2 linked regions of the Lonchura striata genome follow. Each later gene encodes a partner of the first gene's protein in a complex. Links are inferred from orthologs where the notes say so. Each region holds a gene or a part of one and is shown in the gene's direction. Other genes may lie near its edges.

Evidence for each region.
Region 2: the proteins of SIRT5 (region 1) and PRDX1 are in contact, whole or in part, in a crystal structure (PDB 8Z54), measured with the Homo sapiens proteins. The link is inferred for Lonchura striata from reciprocal best matches to the Homo sapiens genes SIRT5 and PRDX1. Residues at the interface, in NP_001363727.1 of Homo sapiens: Ala86, Tyr102, Arg105, Gln140, Ile142, His158, Val220, Val221, Trp222, Phe223, Gly224, Glu225, Asn226, Leu227, Leu232, Val253, Val254, Tyr255, Pro256; in NP_001189360.1 of Homo sapiens: Phe195, Ser196, Lys197, Gln198.

What each region holds. Positions count from the first base shown.
Region 1 is NC_134603.1:88,965,803-88,973,154, forward strand, and holds the start of SIRT5 (NAD-dependent protein deacylase sirtuin-5, mitochondrial), read left to right. Parts: upstream 1-4,130; 5' UTR 4,131-4,302; intron 4,303-4,535; 5' UTR 4,536-4,559; coding exon 4,560-4,668; intron 4,669-6,725; coding exon 6,726-6,859; intron 6,860-7,352. UniProt on the Homo sapiens protein: NAD-dependent lysine demalonylase, desuccinylase and deglutarylase that specifically removes malonyl, succinyl and glutaryl groups on target proteins.
Region 2 is NC_134611.1:13,332,920-13,340,269, forward strand, and holds the start of PRDX1 (peroxiredoxin-1), read left to right. Parts: upstream 1-4,235; 5' UTR 4,236-4,334; intron 4,335-7,047; 5' UTR 7,048-7,058; coding exon 7,059-7,164; intron 7,165-7,350. UniProt on the Homo sapiens protein: Thiol-specific peroxidase that catalyzes the reduction of hydrogen peroxide and organic hydroperoxides to water and alcohols, respectively.

The sequences.
Region 1 (7,352 bases):
TATTGTACATTTTAACCTGTCCATATGGAATGTGTATTCTCTAGAGTCCTTGACTTAATTCTCTAATTTTTTATAAATAATATATATATTATATATATATATGAATGTGTATCTATAGATTGTCTGCCAGTAGGCAGATATGGCTGCACACTAAAACACAGTTAAAGCTGATTGTAGATAACTGAGGTACTGGACTATTTGTTACACAACAACTTGGGAGATATATTTTAAACAACAAAAGATATTTTATTGAGGAAAAAACAGGATGTGAATCCATTTTGGAAAAAAGACCCAACCGCTGTTCTTAATTACCAAAGAACTTGTTTTAGACTGACATATTTGCTGTTTATATCTTTCTATTGTAAATGTTTTAACTGGTAACTTGGTGCCATATTCCTTTCAGTCACTGGGCACCATGCAGCCTTCCATGTTTAAGCACACTGAAATATCCAACTGCTTCATATGTTTTGTCTTCCTTGAGGCCTGCCACTGTGCTGACTTGGCATTGGAATGACTGATGATGCCTGAAGCTATGAGTCTGGCATTTCACATGTTAGCAAAAGCCAGCTGGGCAGTTTGACTGCAGAAACAGTATTACTCCAAGGGTGTGAGAGGACAACATTCTGGGTTTTTTAGGGGTTTTAGTTTTTTTGGGTGCGGGGTGGGGAGAAATGGGAAATAAAGAAGCAGTAAATGGATCATGACTGCAGACTTTGCACTTGTTACTTGCTGGTTTATTATCAAGATGAAATAGAACCTGCTAAAGTAATTTTAATCTGTAAAGTTTATTTTAATAATGGAAATGATGGAGGGATTTATGTCTGGTGCTTATGAATTCCTAAGAAGGTTGTTCCACATGTAGATACTGTAGATGCCTGTACAAGTGTTCTGGATATTTGTAAAGCAACATGGTAAAAAATGAGTGAAGTGAATGGCCTGCTGTATCTTTTCTTTGTTCCTTAGCAAGTGAATGATTGAGATACCTGGGACCTTACTGAAAAGCTGCTGTTCTTTGATTGTTGTGTACAATAAGCGGACTCTCGTATTTTACTATTTACTGTAAAGACCTGTAATTTATATATTGCCATACTGTATTTAATTGGTGCAGACCTGTTGTGTGTTAGAATACAGACTGTTTACTTGGGATTTAAAAAAAATGTGTTACTTGTGTTCGGTACAATTAGGCTTAATGCTCAAAGAGGGAGCTGTTTCTAGCTGGTGCTGCTCAGATGCAAAGGACTTGGTAAAAATGCTGAAGGCTAGTGATGTTGGAGTGGAAGACTAGAGGGTATGAACCTCTCTTACCACTGAGCCTCAGAGAAGAGCAGCCCCTTTGAATACACATTCCTCACCTTCTGCTTTCCCTGTCCTTCCCAGGAGAGGGAGCAGAGGTGGAGAACTCCTGCCAGAGAACAGAATCCCGATGGTCAAGGGGAGATGGGACAAGTTCTTGGAAGACAGATAAGAGAGGATCATTGCTAAATATATAAAGGCCCCAGCCGCTGGCATCTGGGAGGGCAATGTGCTGGAGGAGGCAGTGAAAGGAGGGGCTGTGAAGTTCAGTGTACTTGCCCTTGCCATGGCTTTTGTCCCTTCTAAGACAGGATTCTTAAGTGTTAATTGATTTTGAAATGTGTATCTTTGCAGAACAGTTCATGCTTCTGGTGTCCACCTTGAGTTGCTCTCACTGCATTAATGACACTGCTGCTGAAGGAAAACTACTGTAATAGAAAAAGATTTTATGCAGAATTATTTTATTGGGCACAGATGATTGTGGAATACTGCCAGGTATCAATGGCAAACATGCCAGCATCTTGAAGTTAAGTTTAGATGTCACTTTAATATTTTTATAAACATTTTAGGAAATCTACTTACACATTGGCATTAAAATATTTTTCCAGGATCAGTACAAACAATTTGGAAAATCAGTGTGGCCATTTTCTTACGGCACACATTCAGTAGTTACACCAGGTTAGCAAATCAGCCAGCATCATCTGGGCTATTCATTGTTTCAGGCTTTGGAAACACTGGGATAATTGTGCTCTTGGAGTAGGCATTCTGTATATGCCAAAGAGACGAAAGCAAGCCAGCCTTGTGTCCTTCTGTACCCATTTCACAAAAACTATGCCATGGTGAATTCTGGTTTTATTAAAAAACCTGTACTTTTGCAAACCTTGCAAGTGAACATGCCCTGACCTGGGTTGATGTAAAATTAGGAGCACAGCTGACAGGTGCAACAATGTGATAGGAAGATGAAAGCTCTTTGGTTGATGTGCTCCTCAAAATTCTAGTACAGAAACAGAATCTTTTTTTTTTTTTTTGTTAGCGATGTTAGACTAGGATTCTGCTGGTTTGAACTTTGGATTCAAAGTGGAAGAAAATTGTGGTGATAGTGCAACTGCAAATTGCTTTTTTTTTTTAAGATTAAGTAGCAGCTAAAATACACTGCCTAATAAGCACAGTGTAGCTTATTAGACAGTCTGTACAGTGTACAATCTGTAGCAAGATGTCAATTAAAAAAAAAAAAAACAAAACACCAATTATGATAATGAATAACGTTATGCACAGCCAATCCCTCATTCAACAAATCTGCCATCCTGTTTTCCCAGTCTGCACAGAATTAATGGATTTTGACATCAGGGTCGTTAGAATGCTAAGTAAGATCACGCTGGCTTTCAGCTTGTTTTCTGAGTTTATGACGCGCTGTTTTTCCGAGCACGCTTACTTTCCTGGAGACACGGAGGGCTCGGGGAGCAGCTGTGACAGCCCACCAAGCACCAGCACAAGCGTTTAGTCAGCAGCGCTCGCTGTCAGCATTCCCCCACCAAAGGCTTCCCTCGAGTTTGCAGCTGGAGGCAGAGTACGAAGCGCCGGTCCTCTGTAAACAGCACGGAGTGCCGTGGAGCAGTGTAACGGGGGGTGTCGGCTGCCAGCCCCTGGGAGCAGCAGGGCTGTTCCTGCCCTGCGCTCGGGCGAGCTCGCTCAGGTAACTCGCCCTGTGCCGGCGGCAGTGGGGAACCGGAGCTGCCCCCGGCGCTGGACAGCCGGCAGACTCGAAAGAGCTCGGGGCTTGCTTTCAGCCTTTCCCCTCTCTGGGTACGTGTTTTGGGGGCCTCTTCATCTGCTTAGCTGGTCATTTACGGAATCCAAAGGGAAGGGAAAATGTGGCAAAACCTCTGTCTGAAAAGGACCGCAATGATTAAGGTTGTTGGGGAAGGGTGGGGAGGAGGCGGCTGGATGAGAGCAGGCGCTGCCTTCTTTATGCACCAAAACATGCTAAAAACAGTGTTTCCTCATTAAAAAATAAATAAATAAACTGTGTGCTGTCCAAATGCAGCGGAGTTCTCATGCGTGAACTGCGAACGGCCACGGGCGGACCGCAGAGAGGAATGACGCTGGAAAGCCACCCAGCTTCCCTGACCTATTTGCGTCTCATTCCAGCTGATACGCTCCGGCAAGGCGCAGGGACAGCGCAACGCCGGGGAGCGACACGCGGCTGCCTCCAGTGCATCCATCCACCATCCCGTAACGCCGCGGCCTTTCCCCCAGGAGTGCGGGCGGGACGTGCGGCGCCGCAGGCCCGGGGCGAGGCGCCGCCCGGGGCGGGGCGCGGCGGGCTGGCGTGAGGCGGGCGGAGCCGCGAGTGAGGCCCGCGGCCCCGCCTCCCCTCACGGCGGCCCCGCCTCCCCTCACGGCGGCCCCGCCTCCCCTCACGGCGGCCCCGCCTCCCCTCACGGCGGCCCCGCCTCCCCTCACGGCGGCCCCGCCTCCCCTCACGGCAGTCCCGCCTCCCCTCACGGAGGTCCCGCTTTCCCCTCACGGCGGCCCCGCCTCCCCTCACAGCGGTCCCGCTTTCCCCTCACGGCGGCCCCGCCTCCCCTCACAGCGGCCCCGCCTCCCCTCACGGCGGTCTCGCTTTCCCCTCACGGCGGCCCCGCCTCCCCTCACGGCAATCCCGCCTCCCCGCACGGAGGTCCCGCCTCCCGCACGGCAGTCCCGCCTCCCCGCACGGAGGTCCCGCTTTCCCCTCACGGCGGCCCCGCCTCCCCTCACGGCAGTCCCGCCTCCTCTCACGGCGGTCCCGCTTTCCCCTCACGGCAGTCCCGCCTCCCCGCACGGAGGTCCCGCCTCCCGCACGGCGGCCCCGCCCGCCCTTGCTGCCCCTTCGCCCTTCTGCGGGCCGGCAGCGGCACGTAGGCTCGCCGCCCCCGCGGGTCCGTCCCTCGCCTTTCCCCTTTCTCTTACCATGCCGGCGGGTCCTGGGAGCCGCCTCGGGTTAGCAGCGCAGCTCGGGAGCGTGGCGTAAGTTGAACGTCGGCCGAAAGCCCCGCTGTGGAGCGGGGCTGATGTGCCCCGTTCTGAGCAAAAGCGGTGACCCCGGCCCCAGGGTCCGGGCTGGGGGATGGCTCCGTGTTCTGCAGGTGCAGGAGGAATTCCGTGTTCGCAGCTGGTTCTCCAAGGAGAGCCCCTCACGGGGAGCTGGCAGAAATGCGCACCCTGCCTGGGCCGCTGACGTTTGATTTATTTCTCCCCAGGTGAAACACTTCCGAGGGATCCCGATGTGTCTGTTCCAGTCTGCCGCTAGAAGGCTGGTTCCCCAAGTGCGTTGTGGACTTAAGGCCTCGTCTTCAAAGAAGTTTGGCTTGGAAATGGCCCGTCCTAGTTCAAGTAAGGCGTGTATTTGTTTGCTTTAGCACCCCGGACAGCTTTTTAAGGTGGATTTGAAGTGCTAGAAGGTGTTGTGTGCTAGGTGAAATCCATGGCTTAATTAAAAATGTTTAAAACAGTTGAGGTTGCTTTATTTGTCTCCCAGACTAGTAAAATTACCTTTCTACGACTGTATTCTGTATAGTTCCATAAACTGTTACAGTCATCATGGTTACAACATAAACACCTTTTTAATGTTTATAATTTATGCACATAAGTATGCAGTGGTTAATTGCATTTCCCTTTCATAATGCTAATGAGTAATAAAACTAATTCCTCATTTCTTTGTACAAGAATGGGCCTTGAGTATTTGTGACAGTTCAGGAGCTGGGTAACCCCAGGAGCCCTGTTCAGACTGGGAGTTAAGGCTGACCTCTTTTCACCTGTTTGGGGGTGTTTTGGTTTTGTTTTTCAATTTGACAATGTGCCTTAACTTGAAAACTGCACACAGGTACAACAGCTACTCCCTAATGTCAGGTGGTCAAGGCAAACTTGCTTTTTCTGCTGCCTTGAGCATCAGGATTTGGCTGCTGCCAGACACCTGTCTGGGAGGGCTTTTGGCCTGAGCTTTACACATCAAGGGCTTGTGAGGTTTGGTTTGCAGCAGCAGGTGGGGCATCAGAATAGGAGTGTTCTCTGCCCAGTCCAGGGGCTCTGTACTGTGGGTCTTTGGGACCTCTCCAATGGCTCTTTCTCCCTACAGGAACTTACCTGTCTTTGGGTGGGCTTTTGTGTGTATAGGGGGCAGGGGGTAGTTTTGATTTCTATCTGAAAGACCACCTAGTAAATTGTGAGGATTAGGGTTGTGGCGAGCAGCTCAAAGCTGGAGGCTGCCCACTCATGGGACACCATAGGGAATCCATACTGAGGTCACTGTTGTTAAACACCTTCATTAATGATCTGGACAATAGATTGGAGTGTATCCTGGGCAAGTTTCCACATAATATGAAGCTGGGAGGAGTGGCTGGTACTCGGAGGGTCCTGCCCCTGGGAAGAAATAGACCCAGGACAGGCTTGGGTGACCAGCTGGGCAGGAATGTCCCTGGGGATCTGGTGGGCACCACGTTGGCCTTAAGCCAGTGATGAGCCCTTGTGGCAATGATGGCTCCAGGGCAATGCATAAAAACACTCCATGGTGTTTGTCTGCTGTGAGGTGGCCAAACAATGGATTGAATTGTGCAGGAAGGTTATGGAGTCTCTGTCCGTGTCCATACCAAAAGCCACCCCACAGAACACTGTCCAGAGCAGTCTGCTCTGGCTGACCCTGCTTAAGGAGAGGGGGTTGAACAAGACAATCTCCAGAGGTCCATTCCCACCTCAGCCATTTATTTTGTGATTCTAACCTGTGTTGCTTTAAAATTCATATCTGAGGTAAACTGCAAAATATATTTTTCTTGTCTGTCTGCAGCTAACCTGTTCCTCTTTAATTTTGTCTTGACTCGCATAAAAAGGCAAAGGAAATTTTCAATCTTTTTCCCAAACTACCATGCAGGGGAAAGTGGTGGGAATAACACATTAAAAAATATAAAATACAGTTGCAAATCTAGAAAACAGAAAAAATGCCTCAAAAGAAAGCACATTTTCCCAAATTACCTTAATTTTGAAGGTGATACTTCATGGAGAAAAAAAACAAACAAAAACAACAACAAAACAAATGTATTTTTTTTTATCTCAAGATTTTAGTAACAATTGGGAAGCAAACTCTTCCTGGGTGGTGGTGCCAACAGTTGTTATTGGGGTAGCATCTAATGTGGGGTTTTAATTAAAGACTCTGCCTTTCCAGTATTGACTATAATAATGTTTAGCACATCCTGCCCTACTGAGCCTGCTCAGACACATATTTTGAGAATCTCCAGAAACTGCCCTTTAAATTACAACATAGAGAAGTTCAGGAACCAACTGTTATTCCAAAATTAAAGTCATGGGAGGTGTGTATGGAAGTGTGAGTGTGGCCTCTTAGGTGAGAGTGTGAGCGCCTGAACAGCTCCTTGTTTTCTCGTTTCCCTGCCCTGGCACAGACATGGCTGATTTCCGAGAGGTGTTTGCCAAAGCCAAGCACATCGCCATCATCACCGGAGCCGGGGTCAGTGCCGAGAGCGGTGTCCCCACCTTCAGAGGGGCTGGAGGCTTCTGGAGAAAGTGGCAAGCCCAGGTAGGTACTGGTGGCCCATGCCTCTAGGGCCACCTCTGTGTCCGTCACACAGGTGAGCATGGAGGGTCAGGAACAGGTGGAGGAAGAGGGTGGATATTGTCCCATCCAGTGCAGCAAGGACAGAGCTCTCCCTACAGCTGCCCCTGCAGCTCTTCTCTGTGCTCTTGGGGATCTGCTTCTGTCCTTCAGTTTATCAGCTGCTTGGGAAAAACAACATTCTAGCAGGCAGCTCTGGGTCTTTAAACCATCCTTGTTTTCCTGCAGTTCAGCTTTTTGCTCATCTTTTGACACCCTCACTGTTTTCCTACTGTGTGGGGCCTTTCCTGTTTTAAACTCTTTAGCATTTAAAACAAACCAAAATACCAAAGGAAGAACTGACAAAAGAGACTGGCTGTTTTCTTTTAATTTTGGTGTCTCAGAACACCCTTTAAAAATGCTTTAGGACTTGCTTTATTTTAGGGCAGGTTCTTTAATTCTCCCACAGGCTGTCTCT
Region 2 (7,350 bases), on another chromosome or scaffold:
CCATCAACCCACAGCTACAGCTCTGTTTTAACTTAAAGCAACGAGTCTTTCAGCAGCTATGCATACTATTAATACGTATAGCTATGCAAACAGGTACATATTGGCGATACTTAAGCCGCTGTAACCGAGCAGCTCCCGCCGCACAGATCGGGGATAACCCCTCTCCATTCCGGCTCCCCTGCAGAGGCCGAGTGCGCCCACCTGCCCCTTATCGGGGCGGCGCAGGGCGGGCCCGCGCGGCGCGGGGCGCTGCAGGGGCGATAAGGGGCGCCGCCGCTCCCGCACTCACCGCCGGTACCGAGCGCCGCTCCCGCCGCTCCTGAGGCTGCTGCCCCCGCTGCTGCCCGGCCCTTCCGCTTCCGCCGCCAGCGGGCCGCGGGCTGGGGCGGCGCGGCTGCCCCTGGCGGGTTCAAATGTGGAAGTCCATTAAAGTCTGTCAGTGGGGGTTTAGCGGGGCTGAGCTGCCCTCACGGCCCTGCCCCCGGCCGGGCTCCCCGGCACCGACCCGCTCCTGTTACTGCTCGGGTTTGCCCCGCTGGTGTCCTGGGCCTCCCGGCCCGGGTCCCGGGGAGCTCAGGCAGCCCAGCCTCGCCGCTCCCGCCCAGCGGTGAAGTGATGCATGCGATGAGCTGCACCGCACGGGGGGGACAGACAAAAGATGACCCCGGCCCATAAATTTGACAAGAAGCGTTTGCATTTCCCTGGCTGCTGTTTGTCGCGGCCTCTTGAAGCTATTTCTACTTGTAGGAAGACCGAATATACCCAGTTTTATTTGCAGACCTAAATAACAGGAATCAAGGGAAAGTGAAAGGCCGGTTGCACTCGTTTTGCTTCACCTTTTGCACTCTAAGGTGTATAGAGAAGTCGCACTTTCCGAGAAAGCCGGGGTTTCTCTCCTTGCAGATGGCCAGGAATTCATTTCCTTGTTTGCTCGGGACCGCAGTGAGATTAAAGCAGGCTCATTCAGCTGAGCGCTTTCACTGCTGGGCAGGGACAGCCCTGCTGCTGCCAAATCAAAGCCTTCTGCTGGAGCAGACTTTGGCCTCTAATCGAGAATCAACTGTGCACCCAATCTTAAACACAACTTAAAACAGATAATCACTTCTGACTATTACTCCAAAAAAGGATCCCATCTTTACAAGCAATTTATAAACGTTCAGAACTTAGAGTAAGATTAGATCAGAAATAAGGCAATTGATACCTCTGGTGAGCCTCTTGAAGAACCTCTTACTTATTTCCAGAAAGAAGAATCTGCAGCAGATTTAGTCTTTTCTGTTCTGACTTGAACTGCTCAGGAGACTTAAAGGCACAAAGGTCAGTTAATCTCTTGGGCATGCATGTGACCAGATTTTCATGCTGCACAGCCTGTTTTGACAAAATAAGGGAAAGTGGAAGAAAAGTGCAAGGACAAGACAATTATAAGTAACAGGAGTCGGGAAATGAAAGAATAAAGGGGGAGGAATCACTGCTGATTTTGATTTATTTTTATGAAGACCCTGGCAAACACATCCATTTGAAAGTCCACAATCTTCAAGCAAAAGAAGATGCTTGAATTATGTAAATCTCACATATGAAAACTTTAACAAACCTTAGCCTCCAGCAATGTAATAGGGGAGTAAAAGAGAAAAGGTAAGGAAGACTGAAAAATTTTGTAATCAAAAGGCAGTGGTTATCCAAACATACAGTAATAGCCTGCTAATTGAAAAAAAATCAGAGAAGAGGTAATTTTGACCTAGAAATAGGTCAAAAACTTGATTCAAACAAGGAAAGCTATGTGTATTGTATATTTAATGGCATGCAGTTGTTTTCATTAAAATGATTGTGCACCAGCTGCTTGTGCATAAATGCCCCATGGAACTTGTTAGTTGCTGACTTGTTAGCTGACTTTCTGCACACATTAAATTAAATAGTCCCCACATGGCCAGGACTTGACTCTGACTGTGCCTCTGGTAGTACCATGTGTATGTAGGAGGTTTGGTATATTCAGGACTCAGTGGACTTTTGGCACATGCAGTGATGAACTCCACAGGGAATGTGTGAGGGTGTCCCAGTGTGCTGGCTTTTGAGGGCATGCAGGGACTACCTCTGCTGTGTGCCCCAGGGGCATGCCTAGTGTTGCCAAATCCATTACTATTCCAGCCAAATTTATCTTATTCTGGAAATCTTTGATACTCTTACACAAAACTATTCTCAAATGCATGGAAACCCAAACGTGTGGTAACGTTTTGAAACAGGTCCAGTTTCTTTGCCTTTCTTTTTACACACAGCAGGGCATTTGTTTTTTCACATCAGGGGCCCATTCCCAACCAAGATACATGAGAGATACTGTAATCAAAATGATGGATGTGAAAGCTAGTTTGGCTCCCAGTTTGGGTAGTTTCAGTGCTCTGGCACTGCAGGGCCTGCCAGCTCCTCTTTGTTGATAGATGAAGTACTTATTGTGTCCCTGTCGGAGTGGCTGGGTGCAGAGAGGCCTGCACTGGGCTCTGATGCTCCATGCTAATCAGGTACAAGCTGATCCTGTCTGGCAGCTATTTTATCAGTACAGGACAGCACAGTTACACTGCTGTGTGGAGAGAACTCCATCCTTCCAGCACCTGCGGGGGTAGACTTGCCCTTTCTTTCCTGGAAAACATGATTGTTTTAATCTAAGTAGCATCCTACATCTAAAGGTTGAGAAAGGCTACAGAAACCCAGGTGCTCACTGAACAAGAAGTGGCCCTGACAATTTATTATTCCAAAACCTCCAAAAACTGACATCTGGAAAGACAAGCTCAGAAATTAATCAAAAGTAATGAGGCCATAGACATCTGAATGGAAAGGCAATGCTTACAGCACAAACCTGGAACAACCTGCAGACCATACTGGGTATATTGTGCATCTGAAATTATGAGAAATCAGCATAACAAGCATTGAAGGAGTCAGAAACCACGAGAAAGTCATGATTACTTTGTCCATTTGTAAACATGCCAGCGTTGCAGTGGCACTACATTGTTCTGGAGGCTTTAATTAGAACTGCCTGACCTTTCAGGAGTTAATCTGTTCACAGGCTCATTGGCCTGAGGCGATGGAGAAGTATATACATATCTCAATATATAGACCTCAATTCTCAGTGCTGATGTTAAGAAAGTAAACTTCTTCCTGTAAAAGATTAAGCATGCTATAGCAATAGAAGTAGATAAATTAGTTGCATGGAAGTGAGTGCAGATTTTTTCCTGAGTACATATATGCATGTTATTTGCTTTCAGTATTCATTAAGGATTAAGTTCATCTGGTCCCAAAATGAGTCATCTCTGGGTGAACCACCACAACGGTATAGTTACCCAGCAACACTGCACAGTGATCTTGACTATAAACCTTTAAAGTTTGTTAATCCTTTGTGGTTTTCTCCTCATCAATATTTATAATCAAGTTTTAAAAAATATAAGAAGCACAACTGTAAACTGCAAAACAGATGAGTAAAAATCAGTTGGTGAGCACATTTATCACTTTTGACAGAAGCAAGCATTTTTGTCTTTGATATGGCTTAATGGCTTTAGATATTTATTATTTAATAAAATAAATTCACATTTAAAATCAAAATTTGGCCCTTAAAAAGTACCACACTCCTTGTTCACTTTTAGATTCAAAGACAGCACTTATGTGAAATCACTGATGTTAAACATCACTCAGAGCAGCTTCACTACAGAATGATGCAAAACTCCCAAGAGTTTCCATTTTACCACTGAAGCTCAACGATTAGACTTTAAACTTAGTTTTCATCTTTCTTTTGCTGACTTGCATGACTGGGATCGGTGTTCCCATTGATGGAGAAGAATCAATGAAAGCCTTGGGACGAGTATTAGGGAGAGGGGGCAGTGGGTAATGCAGAGCGAGAGGATGGAGATTTGACACCGCACCTGTGCAACACTGCGAACACACATTGTTCTGCTCGTGAGAGGTTTCGTTTTACTTCTGTCAATGACCAACACTTAATTCACATGAATGACATGCCAGTCATCCCTTTTCCTCTCTCAAAGTCCTGCGTGCCCTCTGAGGACTTCAAATAATCATAGCTAGGTCAATTAGGGCACTAAAAACGCCATCGCTTCTTGCACCAAGCCCATCAATCGTTTATAGCCGCGGCATTGGCGATTTGCGCGGCACTTCCCGGGACTCTCTCCAGGGAAGGATCTGCCAAGTCATGCTGCCCTGGCAGGCGCGGCCGCGCTCCCCTCCCCGCGCGTCCGCTCGCGAGATCGCGCCGCTATAAAGGGGGCGGCGCGGCGGGGCTGCGGCAGAGCGGGCCGGGCGGAGCGGCTGCTGTGAGCGGATCGGCGCTGCGCTGCGAGTGAGTGAGTGTGCGGGGCTCTGGGGGCTGCTGCGGGCTCTGCACAGTGTTTTGGGCTTTTTTAAAATTTAATTTTATTTTTGTGTGGTTTTTGTTACTGCTTTGGGTGGGTTTTTTGTTCGCTTTCCCCTCCCCCTCTGCTCAGATGCGCGCTTGAACGAGGCGCGTGGGGCGAGCCCTTTCTCCCCGCGTCCCGCTCCCGAAGGATCGCTGCCGCCTGAACCGCCGTGTTCAGTTTCCCCTGGTTTTGGTTTGGGCTTTTTTTGGCGGGGAGAGCGAGCAGAGAAGTCGTTCCAACGCTCCGGCCTTTATCAGCGCTGCGCGGGGCGGAGCCGCGGGCGGGGAGCGCGCAGGGCGCCCGCAGGGAGCCGAGCGGCCCCTTCCCCGACAAGGAGGCGGCATCTCGCTCCTAAGCCTTAAGAAACCCCAAAGCCGAGCGCTGGCTGCGGCTCGGGGACGTGCAGGGGGCGGGTTCCCCGGTCGCAGAGCGGGGGCAGGCTCGGGGGCCGCCCCGGGGCCCCACGCGTGCCGCGGTCCGTGCGCGATGCCCGCGGTTCGGTGTCGCACCCCGAGCGCGGCCGCGGCGGCCCGACCGCGTTGTGTGACAGTCTGGAGGTGGCAGAGGGGGAGGCTGATGGCGCCTTTTGAAACGGCCTTTCGCTTTTGTTCGAGGCACCCTAAAGGTATGAAATCGCTCGCTCAAGAGAGCAGGCCTGGCTCATTATAATTGCTGTTTGAAGATAATTGAGGCCGTCTGCGGCTATGAGCAACAAAGATACTCTGGCCGGATTCGAGTGTATTTGGTTTAAGGTGCTCATTCTACTTTCCTGCAGAATGAACGGAAGTAACAATGATTCTGTGGTCTGCTCCTCTGCGGGTTAGGAAATGCTGTGGCTAAAAATCCGAGCAGAACACGCGCGGACCCCACACGGAATAGCAGAAGGGTTGGCAGATCACAGCGGGTGCTCTGAGGAAAGCACATGGCTCTCTTGAAGTGTGAGGCAACCAAAGTCTCCTGCAAATATTAAAATATTTTAATGGTACCAGAGAAAGGGGCAATAACTTGTAGTTTAGAAAGGGGAAGTATCAAAGAGCAGTCTGACCTTGAATATCTAGTGAAATACTCCAGAGAATTGCTGATGGAATAAATATAGAAGGACTGGCATAGTACTGAGCAAAAGGATGACCTTGAGCTGGGATAACAGAAAATAATGTAATTCAGTGATAAAAATGTGGGGTCATGCACTCCAGGCTGAGCAGCTCTTGCTTATAAGATAAAACTTGCTAGTTGGAGGCATCTCAAATAAATACTGTGCTGTTCCCCTGTCCCTCTTGCAGAACTGCACTTTGAGAGCCACAGCTCCATTTGTGTGTACAGGATTCTTGATGTCCTCCTGCCAGGCTACTTCACTGCATCCTACAAATGATCTCTAGTCCTGGCCACCATATTCGCTCCCAGTCTGCTGCAGTTAAAGACTAAAAACCCTCGGATGAACATGGGGATAAGGAGCTTTGTTTTACAGTTAGAAATGCTGAGTGTGTGAGCACTTCTCAAAATGGAAATAAAGAGGTGGATTATTACTGTCAGGGTGTGTAAAAGAAACTTGCAAAAGGAAACCATTTCTAAAAAGGCTAGGTGTGGGTTCAAAGCTAAATGTTTGACTTGTGGGCTAGTTCTCCAGGAAAAAAAGTGTCTGGCAAGGGGGAAGGAGCCAAGAAATGAGGTGCTCTCAACTTTTTTTAGAACGGACTTGGTGCCTTGCAGGCACAACTTGGAACAATCCTTGGCTCTTGGCTTTCCTTAGCAACATGAGAGTCATGCTAACCTTTGAGGTGTTTTTCATCTCCAAGGCAGCCAGTGCTGCAGTGTGTAGAATGAAGTGAAATAGCTTCTAAGAATATTATGTGATCTGCAGAAATTACGTTTGTAGAGTTACCTATTTGAAAGATTATGCTCTGGAAGTCTAAAGAGTTGTACTACACTCCCAGACTGAGCAAAAATACTACACGGGATGTATTGCAGATGACAAGCTTTTGGGGGAGACAGCCAGAAGTAGCATTCTTTTATCCTTGTGTACCCTTTTTTTCTTTTTCAATAGAAATAAAGGGGAAACAACCTGGCTGTACTGATTTAGACTCTGTGAAATTGTAATTAACATAGAATGTGATTTCCATGTGTGCCACGAGTTTTTCTGGTTGCAAATAAAAAAGGATTGAATTGTTCAAAAGGTTTAAGTGTAGCTATGCAGAGCAATGTTCCCTGGAGATTAACAGACGTTATTTTCTTTCAGAATCAACAGGAAGCTCAAGTTTGAGGTCTTAAATTCCCTTGTAAAATTGAACAAGGTTCTTCTCCTTGAAAATTCTGAAAAACATACTTCCTACTCTTCCACCATGTGGAATGGTATGGTTTTCTGAGTACTAGTAAAGCTCTAGGCTAGGAGTTTGCCAGACGCTGAGCTATTAGTGGTTAGATAACCACTACTGTATCTTTAGGAGGCCATGTGCCATAGATTTTGAAGTGCTGGCAGTCTCTATAGTGGTTCAACTACCCAGGTGACAAAACTCATTTAACCCCTAAGCCTTGTTTAAAGACCAAGTGCTGATAAACTGTCTTTGGTGTTTAATCTAGATTGATAAGATGCTTTGAATAAATCCTTACTTCCAGCTGCAAATGTACTGCCATCTAAACTGTATTGGTGTTGACTCCTGTCTAGGTTAAATCAAGATGTCTTCAGGAAAGGCTTTCATTGGAAAACCAGCTCCTGACTTTACTGCCACGGCTGTAATGCCAGATGGACAGTTCAAAGACATCAAGCTCTCTGACTACAAAGGTAATTTCATGTGCTTCTCTAATTACACAGATGGTCTGGCCATAGGAAGGACTGGAGGGTATCTGAAGGTGCACCTTGGTTTGGCTTTGAATTGCTAGTGACCATTTGGCAGTGGGCTGGAGATCAGAACTTGTGCAGTGGTGGCTGCAGTATGCTTAGAAGGCTGTCAGCAGCCTGACTGAATGT